Linked DNA regions of Drosophila melanogaster. The protein of the gene in region 1 interacts with the protein of each later gene in a pairwise test. Each region holds a gene or a part of one and is shown on either strand. Other genes may lie near its edges.

What was found. The genes of interacting proteins can lie anywhere in the genome.
Region 2: the proteins of CG30349 (region 1) and kipf interact in a two-hybrid assay, tested with the Drosophila melanogaster proteins (one large-scale study listed by BioGRID).

The regions. Positions count from the first base shown.
Region 1 is NT_033778.4:8,905,772-8,911,387, forward strand, and holds CG30349 (uncharacterized protein), read left to right. Parts: upstream 1-1,746; 5' UTR 1,747-1,819; coding exon 1,820-2,125; intron 2,126-2,178; coding exon 2,179-2,708; intron 2,709-2,763; coding exon 2,764-3,249; intron 3,250-3,305; coding exon 3,306-3,434; intron 3,435-3,490; coding exon 3,491-3,640; intron 3,641-3,660; exon of another isoform or gene 3,661-3,699; coding exon of another isoform or gene 3,700-4,578; intron 4,579-4,715; coding exon 4,716-4,813; intron 4,814-4,872; coding exon 4,873-5,036; 3' UTR 5,037-5,114; downstream 5,115-5,616. Other genes in the region: CCT8 (chaperonin containing TCP1 subunit 8), read right to left, coding at 1-902, 1,082-1,141; CG8252 (uncharacterized protein), read right to left, coding at 3,700-4,578; Pgi (phosphoglucose isomerase), read right to left, coding at 5,409-5,599.
Region 2 is NT_033777.3:7,912,266-7,917,009, forward strand, and holds kipf (kipferl), read left to right. Parts: upstream 1-1,585; 5' UTR 1,586-1,818; coding exon 1,819-2,372; intron 2,373-2,526; coding exon 2,527-3,009; coding exon of another isoform or gene 3,010-3,013; exon of another isoform or gene 3,014-3,104; intron 3,105-3,647; coding exon 3,648-3,915; 3' UTR 3,916-4,188; downstream 4,189-4,744. Other genes in the region: Rfk (riboflavin kinase), read right to left, coding at 223-599, 664-748; CG10445 (uncharacterized protein), read right to left, coding at 4,663-4,744. UniProt on the Drosophila melanogaster protein: DNA-binding zinc finger protein that recruits chromo domain protein rhino/rhi to specific chromatin regions enriched in H3K9me2/3 histone methylation, mediating piRNA (piwi-interacting RNA) biogenesis.

The DNA of each region.
Region 1 (5,616 bases):
AGGTCGAACTTAGAGTTGAGACGCACGGCCATCAGACCGTATTTGTTAAGGAAGTGCAGAGCCATGTCGCCAACCTTGCCGCCGGCCACAACCACCTTGACACCTGCGTCGGCGATAGCCTTGATCTGGCTCTCCAACAGGCTCTCTTCGCCGGAGGAAAAGCTCAATAGCTCGTCGGCCGACTTGATCAGCACTGTGCCCTTGGTCTCAGTTTGGATAATATCGACGGGGCAGGAGAAAATCACGATCTTGGCCTTCTCTGCATAGGTCACATCGCCTTCTACGAAGCGCTTGAAGACCATGCCGCGAACCACCTCAGACTTGGTCAGTCCGCTGCCCAAGATCTTACAGATGCGAATGTTGTCCACGTTGAAGGTGCCCTCATCCGGCAAGATGGAGACGCAGGCCTTGCTCACCAAATCGTTGAGGAAGTCCTCCTGGCCGTACTGCTTCGACATGATCGATGTGCGGAGTACCTCCTTGACCTTCTCCACATTGCGATAGTCCTCGATCTTGTGGCTCACCAGATTGGGCAGAATCTCCAGAGCCTTCTCCAAGGCCTTTTCATAGCCGTCGGAGATCTCGGCAGTGGTGATTCCTAGACGCAGCAGCTCCTCAGCGGACTCCAACAGAGCTCCGGCCAGCACCACCACGAAGTTTGTACCATCGCCCACCTCGGCATCCTGCATCTGGCTGGCCATGACGATCAACTTGGCGGCTGGATGCTCAACATCCAGCTCCCGCATGATGGTGCCGGCATCGCTGGTCACGAACTGCTTCTCGATGTGATTGATGATCATCTTGTTCATGCCATTTGGCCCATAGGCAGAGCGCATGGTCTGTGCAAACTCCTTGCAGGCGCTGATGTTGCGGAACACCGCCTCCTCCAGCCCACTGTACATCTGAGGACACAAGTAAAGCCATTAAATTAGTCATTTTTCTTTCATATGTCGAGCCCCGTTCCATGAGGATGACTAATCACGCGCCTCCGCAAGACGGCATGTTTTCTTTTAAGCCGAATCTCAATGAAACCGATGCCCGGCGGACTCCTCGCAGAGTTATTCCTCCTTGTTGCACTTACCCGGGCGCCATCCTTCAGCATCTGCGACACACCGGGAGCCTTGGGAACGGATAAAGCCATTTTTTAACACAGATTTCAATTTCACACGGAGTCAGTCGGTAAATTCCAGCTATAGTTATAACCTCAAAGTGGCCGCGAACATTCTGGATGGGATAGCGATGGCACTTGCCTATCGATTATCGTAAACGGTGACTGGCGCTATTTTATTTTTATTTTACATTTGAATTGATCTTTTTCAATAAGGTAACGATTCTCAATGGTTTATGATGAATAGCATGCAATTAACAATATAGTTCAGCAGTGGAGTTTACGCCCCAAAGAATCCTGTAAATCGAGTTTATTTCTTGGTCTTTGAACGCATTTACTTAAATAATCCAGGATAATGTATATAAGTTACTCCAAATAAGTAATATTTACAGTTGCAAAAGAATTTACTCATTTTAAGTTTTGAGGAAATTTTAAAACAATTAGAGTAAAATATTTTATTATTTAATTTAAAAACTGAAAAGTTTATTTAAAAAATTCACATTCCCATTGGTTTATTATATTGTTCACTCGATGAATTTTGTTTGCATATAATTTGATAAATCTTTCAAGGGTATAGGAAACGTCGGTAAATGCAATTCAATCGTGAGTCGTGCGTGACATTTGCGTGATAGATTGCATTAAGTGCGACGAGTGTGAGCCGATGTAAACACTAGCCTTAGCGCCCATCTCTAATTCAAAACATAAAAAACGATGTCGCTGGGCAAGAAGCACGTGTTGGGATTTTCGCCCAATGGTGGCCAACTATTTGCCTCGGTGGACGAGTCGGGAGTTCTGCGGATATGGAACACAGAGACGAACACGCTGTATCAGGAGTTTACGCCCAATCTACAGTTATCCGGGTCGTGCACAGCTCTCACGTGGGTTTTGGTGGCCGGTTCCCGGCCCAAGAAGTCGCGGAAGAGCCTCCAGGCACAGGATGCAGCCGGTGATCAGCTTCACATTGCTCTGGGAACGTACAAGGGCTCAGTGGTTATATACTCATTAGCCGAGGGAAAGGTGAGTCGGACAAAGAGCCTTGAAGGCGAATAAACCACAAGCAATCCTTGCAGATTTCTCGAACGCTCAGTGGCGACAGCCATGATGGACCAGTGACCTCAATTACAAATGACAACGCTGGCCACCTATACACTGTGGGTGCCGATTGTAGGGTTGTTGTTTGGTCCTTGACGGACGAGCGCTCCATCGCCGAATGGCAAGTGGGACCCGAGAAGCCCCAAAATATAGTCTACCTTCAGAAAAGTGGCACCTTGGCCATTGGCTACCGACAGCTGAAGGTGTACGATATCAAGACAAAGGAGCTGGTGGAAACGTTCACCGGCCACTCGGGCGAAATAAACACAATCAGCAGCGTGGCGAGCACAGATGGCACTGAATTCGTTTTGACCACCGCGAAGATGGAGCGCGTAATCTGCTTCTGGAAGATCGACAAGAAGGGCAAGAACAAAGCCTCCGCCTGCACGCTCCTCATGGAGGACTTGGCCTACTGTCTAACCAGCGAAGTGCGCGACGATGGTCAGCTACGTGTGGCCAGTGTTACCCGCAATGGCATCATACACATTTACCTGTTGAATGTGAACAGGTGGGTCATGTGAATACACGTTTTGTCACTCGTACTGAAGTACTATGTTTCACAGTTTATCCGCAGAGAAGTTTGTGAAGCCCAAGGTTTCGCTGCAGATCGTTTCCGATGGCGCCGAAACAGTGGAACCACTTCTAGCCGTGGCGGCCCACTTTGTGACAGACTCAAATCGCTCCCACGAAATCCTCTTTGGCTACGGAAGTCGCCAACAGCTGCAGTTTGAACGTTTTACGCCCAACTATGGCGAGAAACTAAACGTTATTGTGCGCGCCGATCCCAAAAAGCTCTATGCGAAAAAGAAGGGAAAGGAGCAGCCGGGCTACCAGGCCGCCACCAAGGTCCAGAAGCCCATTGTAAACCAAAAAAATGTGGAGTACAACAGCGCCCTGCCCATCTCGCAGAAGAAAGTGCAAAACGAAGTGCCCATGGAAGCCCGACTAGAACATCTTAAAATTCAAGGAACCAAACTGAGTGGCGGCAAGTTGTTGACGCAGAGCAAAACGCAGCTGCTAATGCAGGCATTACACAGCAAGGATCAGGCGTAAGGGATTTTCGAACAATGGCAATAGATGTTTTAATAGAAGTTCGTTTTTTAAGGATGATACAAGCCGTTCTGAGCACTCAGGATCCAGAGACGATACAGTTGACCTTGGATCGGCTACCGCTCGATTATGTCAATCCCCTGGTCAACGAACTTTCCATCCTGCTGCAAGGAAAGCACGCGAGGTGAGTGTTTTCCGTAGAGCCCTATTGAGTCTTTTTCTAAATACGTTCTTTTACAGTGTCCGCTCCGCCCTGCGTTGGCTGCACGCACTGACCTCCACCCACACTAGTGTCTTGATGTCCGAGGACAAGGAGGCTTTGCGCGAAAAACTAGCCGTTTGCCTCGGCGTGGCGGAGCAGCGCATGCACTGTCTATCGGAAGCTTTGCAGTAAGTAAAATTGGGGAATTGAAAGACACAAAACAAAGGTTTTAATAGGGAAATCAAGTTCAAGATCCCGATTTCTTTGAATTTTTCGGCTTGATATTATTCTTGGGCTTTTCAATGGTGCCGTGGCGACACTCCGAGATCGCAGCGAAGAAGGTCAGCTTGGTGTGCAGAATGGTGTCGATGTAGAATCGCTGAAAAGTGAACGAGTTGAGGCATCGTTCGCCCAGGCCGTAGTAGAGCGTGTTGTAACCCTCGAAGCGGTAGGTGATCATCACGGGATAATGCTTCAATAGAATCTTCGACAAGGAAATGATGAAACGCACCTTGGCGACGGCCAGAGGATTCGGACAACGGGGTGTTGGCCGAGAGAAATGGGCATCCACAAAGAGAATGGTTCCCTTTTTGGCCACCTCGTGTCGAATCGGATTGCTGATCACCACACACTTCGTGTCCGGCGAAAGTTCCCAGCGACTGACAAAATCCCTAATGTCGGCAATGGCATTGGAGTATTCAAAGTCCCCGATGGTCAGCATCTTGCGCGCCAAGCCACTGGATACGGAGTCCGCCGAAATGCCAAGGCCACCCGTGTAATGATTCGTGATCGAGGGATCATCCTCTCCGTTGGCCACAATGGTGTCGGTGAACACTGAAGAGATCAGGCTGATGGAGGACATCTTTTGCTTTTTCGGAAAGTTGTAGATAAAAAGACCACGCGGGTCTGACTCAATAATGGCCACCGCTTCGCAGAGTGTGCCTTCGATCAGGTCGATGATGCACTGCATATCAGCGTCATCGCAGGCCGGCTTGTTGCACTGGTTGACTAAGCTGGATATGCTGGGTATTATGGCAATGGGTAGGGCACCGCCTGGTCCCAATGCTGGCACGCCACTGCCTGGACTCGGGGGTTTCTTGTTGTGGGGGCTGGAGAAGTAGTCCATACAGCTAGCGCCATCATTGCACAAAAGATCCATTTTCGAAATCTGGCCACGACAAAATTTAGTAATGCGTGTACTCCTATTATTGTTATATTGGCAATATTGTTATAACACCTTTTCAATGCCTTCTTTATTTTTAGAATAACCGGGCGAGTCAACCTGATAATTAACCAGATGAAACGCAACGCGGACAATCATCTCAACGATAACAAAGCCCTGATCCTGGACGAAGATCCAGGTAAGTTATCAAGTGGTTTTATTCGCACAAGGCTCGAGTCTTAATTCGCTTGCTTGCAGATGAGCCCGATCCCGAAGCAGAAACGAACTGGAGCGATCTGGAGGAGGATCAGCCAGGCAGTCCGAAGAGCCCATTGGAAGACGAGCTGGTGGCCGACGACGACCTGGCGACCGACGATGGTAACGCCGACGCAGACACAGACTCTGACGTATCCATGGATTAGACAGTCTACCCGTAATTTAAGCTTAAATGCAATTCCCTTGTTGTTGCGCCGCGAGAAAATAAATTAGCATTTTTTTCCAAACACAGTCTTTTACATCGAATTCATAAATTTTTATTTACGGTTTTAAACTACGTGCAACAACGAATAGTGAGAGCCAATTGTTGGTCTAATTCCGACACGAGATTTCATCGATACGCAAGCAAACAAACATATCCAGTTCATAAATACAGTTGAATAATGTGCCAATAACAGGGGGCTTGTAGCTCGAGTATACATAAGCGGCGGCTACTGAATAACGGCTCAGAAACTACTAACAATTAGAGCATTTGTGTAAACATTTCTTTTTAATTCGCAACAAATAGCCAGACATGATTACTTCCAATTGGCTTTGATGAAGTTAATTAGACCGTTCGTGGAACTGTCGTGCGTGGAGACCTCGTTGCAGTGATCCAGCTCCGGCTCGATGGCCTTGGCCAGCTGCTTGCCCAGCTCCACACCCCATTGGTCGAACGAGTTGATGTCCCAAATGATGCCCTGAACGAAGATCTTGTGCTCGTACAGCGCTGCAAAATCAATTGAC
Region 2 (4,744 bases), on another chromosome or scaffold:
AACTGAAATGCGATTGGTTCAATTTGTTGGTGTCATTATGAGCAGTAGGAATTTAATGAAAACGTTTAGCTTAAGTACTTGATTCGATATTCGAATTCCGCTTTGCACATCGCGCAAATTGAGAGATAAGATAACTGATGGAATAACTATTTCAAAGCCGTGCGAAGAGTAGTAGTGCGTCCTTCAGCAAAGCCTCCTTTTCCAGACTGACCTACGCCATCGCTATTTCGACGAGCAGAGCTTCTCCGTAAAGAACGGAGCCTCCTTCAGCTTGGCCTTGTCCGCCTCGTCGAGGAACGCCTTGGCCTGCTCGATGTCCCCGCGGATGGCGGCAATCAGTGACTCCAGGGAGTCGAAACTGCGCTCCGGTCGCAGGTAGCCTACAATGCATATCTTGAGTGTCTGGCCGTAAAGGTCACAGTTAAAGTCGTGTAGCATGTGCGTCTCCACGCTCTTCTCCTTGTTGTTGTAGAAGGGATTCCAGCCGATGCTGAGGACCATCTTGTGCACGGGTCCATTATCCACGTTTGCCCAACCGTAGTACGCGCCAGTGGGCAGGGATTCCGGCAGCGATTTCACCACCTCCAGCGGAAAGTTAGCTAACAAGTGGTTTGGTTATCAATTAGAAATGACCTTCGCAATTCGCCTAACGTCGCCACCAACCTGTTGGGATGCCCAGCTCTTTGGAGCCGCGTCCGAAGCCCCGAACAATCTCGCCCCCAGCGAACAGAGGCAGTTGGCTCAGCATTTCCCAGATTTCCTTGCAATCTGACCCAGATCTGCTGTGCTGGCGCTTGAAATGAATATCAGGGGCCAATGGGCGGTTGATTTGCGGTATTCTGTGCAACCGCAAAGCGCTGCGGGCCAATTTATCGAGTCTGGCAAGGAGTCAAGCGGGGTTTTCTACAGAGTACGTATGTTGTGATTGCCGCGTAGCCACTCACATAACTATTCCTCGTTCCATTGATCGGCATAATATTCATAAACACACAGACAAATTTTCCGCATTCATAAAGCGAATCAGCTGTTGCCTTCGGGCTGCCAACCTGTTTCAGTTATATAGTACTGTCAATTAGCGAATTTTTTTTACTAGATATTTAAATTGTAAGAAACTGAAATGTATATATTACGCACAGTATGGTTTTAATCAATAAAGCTTGGGTTTATATTGTAATGCAGAATTAATGTAATTGGATTGATTTTAAAATTTTAGCGGCGGGTTAAACATATTTTCATCAAAAGCTTTTATTTGCTGTGTAGAGCTTCTATTGAAAATATTGAATTTTTATTTCATAAATGAATCATCAGATGTTTTGTGTAAATACTAGTACTCTATTCCCAAAATAAATAGAACACCAAATCGTAATTAAATTACAATGAAAGCCAGCTTGCCTGAAAAATATTTGTGTTATTAATACAAATATACATACATATATACATATATATACATATATACATATTTTTTCATATCATATCAATCTCAATTTTTTTTATTCTGAATAATTGTTTTCCATGTGTACATGTATTATTCAGCACTAAAAAAAATGTACAAATGATCAGTGCGACGGTTGGTTTCTTTGCAGTTCCAGTTATCATCCAATTCTCCAAAAAGTGAACACTTACACTTGTGTAGAATGAGAAATCAATTGAACTCTTTAAAAAATGTGCCGTTTATTCATATAATTTACCAGCAATAACTGTAAAACCAGCGAAACGGGATTATTAGTTTGCAAAACAAGGCCAATGTCAATGGTCAATTCATAAGATGTCGTAAACTGTTCTTTTATTAAAAAACATTGCATTTGGTTGTTGATTTAGATGATGCACAGCGCGAAGAACGTGTGCCGGACTTGTATGGACGAGACCGGCACCCTGGTAGATATATTCGCCAATGTAAGGGATCCTGTGCTCGACGAACCGGAGATGAGCCTCTCGCACATCCTGGCCAGGTGTACCGAACGTCCAGTGAAACGCGGCGACCTGCTGCCGCAGTTCATATGCGTTTCCTGCGTCCTGGCCGTGCAGAATGCTTTCCGGTTCAAGTGGCAAAGCGAGCAGAGCTACCAGCACTTCTTCCGCGTCCTAAACCAGTCGGGTGCTCCGGAAAACCAAGTGCACTTAGCTGCATGTAATGGGGATAAGAACCAGATAATAAACCAGAAAATGCAGCTCAAAAGCGATCGTCAACAGGATACGCAGCAAATGACAAAAACGCAGAAACCAGATGATGATCTTAGTCAAAAACAAACACTCCAAGCGAAGCTCCAAGAGGGAAATATTGATGGCCCACCGGAGTCCTTCACCCTGCATCCTCGTAAGCGGACTTGTCGCACAGAAGAACAGGCAGACATGATCCCAAAGGAAGCTACAAGGTAATGCAATTTGTTATAAATATCAAGCCTCAAGATAGACAAATAATTGAAAAATTATAAAAATTTGAAGGTACATCTTTGATTACTTATACTTTTATATGAATAATTAAAAATAACTTAAATAAGCTTAAATAATTATATTCCCGATTTTCAGAAGTACCAAAATGATCTGCGATGCCGATGGCTACTACAACTGCCCGCACTGTTCTAAGCGATTTTGTTCCCAGACCCAGTTAAGGACCCACATCACCGATCTGTGCAACAGGTGTCCCTACTGCCCACGCACTTATATGCAAAAATCGAACCTCAAGCGGCATTTGCGAAACCACCTAAGCAAGCCAGCGCACAAGTGTTTCCACTGCTCGAAGGCTTTCATGCGTAAAGATCACCTTAAAAGGCACCTGCGCACCCACGACAGTGACGGTCCGCTCTCCTGCAGCCAGTGCTCAGCGGTATTTATCGAACACGTTCAGCTGGAAATCCATCGCAGAGAGCACAAACAAAGGCCGGGCTCTTCAAAATCGGAGTCCACGAAGGATCCTGACTCGGACGACAGCGATCAAGCGCAGGATCTAAAACCAAAGTGGACTAAGAACACCTTCAATGGCACGTGCAGCATTCCACCTATGCTAAAGCCGTGAGTTTGGAACTCCACCAGTCTTATGTAATATAGTTATACCTGATAGTTATACTTATACCCTAGTACCGCTGAGAAATTTGTGACGAGCGAAGGTAGCGTATCTGACCCCTTTATATTCTTAATCGGAACCACTAGCCGAGTTCATAAGTTCTCATCAGTCCGTCCGTTCGTCTATTTTTCCGTCTGTCTGTCCGCAGAGATCTCTGGAATTAAAAATCTAGAAAATTAAGGTTTTGAGTTTGTTTCAGACCTTTAAAAAGCCAACAAACGGACATTAAGTTATTGTTTTCATTTATTCTTTTACTTAAATTTTTGGCGATAGCCATTTCGCCGAAGAAAATTTGAATAATCAAACTTTAACCAAACTTTAAAATTGTATACCCGTTACACGATAAGTAATAAAAAGGTTTACTAGTAGAAGGAAATAATAATCTTGCACAGGATCAATAGTCTGTCCGTCCGTCTGCGTGTCCGTAAGAACGCCGTGATCCCGTTAACTATAGGAGCTAAATCCCTAAGATTTAGTAAAATTTATAGAAATAGAAAACCCTCGCACTTTTACTAGCTGATTAACGGGTATCTGATAGTCGAGGCGAATCAACTAATATCATTTGCTTCTATTTATTTAACAACAGGAAACCGATATGCGATATTTGCCAAAAGAAGTTCAGTAGTGTCTACGCCTTGAAGCGGCATATGCTTACTCACAATCGCCAACATCATCTTAAAAAATGTACCTATTGTTCCGAGGAGTTCAAAACAGAAAAACATCTCAAAAGGCACGAGCGTGGTCACATGGGAGATCTGTTTCGTTGCGAATTTTGCTCATTGGTATTTGTAGATGTTAACTACTTGCGAAAGCACAAAAAACGCATTCACAGCAACAACGTAATAGCGATGTAGGAGAAGATCATGTCCAAACGGGTGACTACCGGTTATACTCTTGGAAAACAACCATTGAATTAAGCAGATTAATATATGTGAAAGGAATATAAACGATTTATTATTCATTATAATTATAATGACCGCAGGTCTAAACTTCTGTTGTTGATTCTTACTTTGAATTTTCTTAAATATGATTCTTTTGTTACTTTCATAAGCTCAAAATTAATATTATTTAAGTTTCGTTTTAATTATATATTTCACAGAAACTCAAATATACTGAGAATAAGCTCTAAATTTATATTATTGAAATTTCCTTTTAATTGTATATTTCACAATACATTATTATACTGAAAATAATTAAACAATCGATTGATTGCTACCACATGCTACTTAATGCCTTCTTATATATCTTTAGAGCTTCAAACTTTTTTCTTTTAGCTTTGTTGTGGTTTTGCGAGAACAAAAGGAAAAATAGACAAAAAGAATGATCCATACATCATGAAAACAACTAGTATGCTTTATTATTAGTACGTTTTGTTCTTAATATAGAAAAAAAGGGAATATATATGCTTTATGCTTTATGGACGTGCGACTATATCAAATGTAACGTATAACGTTAAAGGTAGTCTGTGTAGTATTAATACACAATTGTAAACGAATTCAATCCGTTAAAAAACACTTTGGTGAAATTGTAAAGCTTTTGTATGCGAACAATTTAAACAAAAAAAAACATAATCTTCTTAAAACTAACTAAAATACTTCGACTCACATCTCGAAGAGTTTCTTTAGCTCCGCGAGGTTGAGACCACCGCCAACACATTTGGTCACTTCTCCTCCTTCCTCTGGA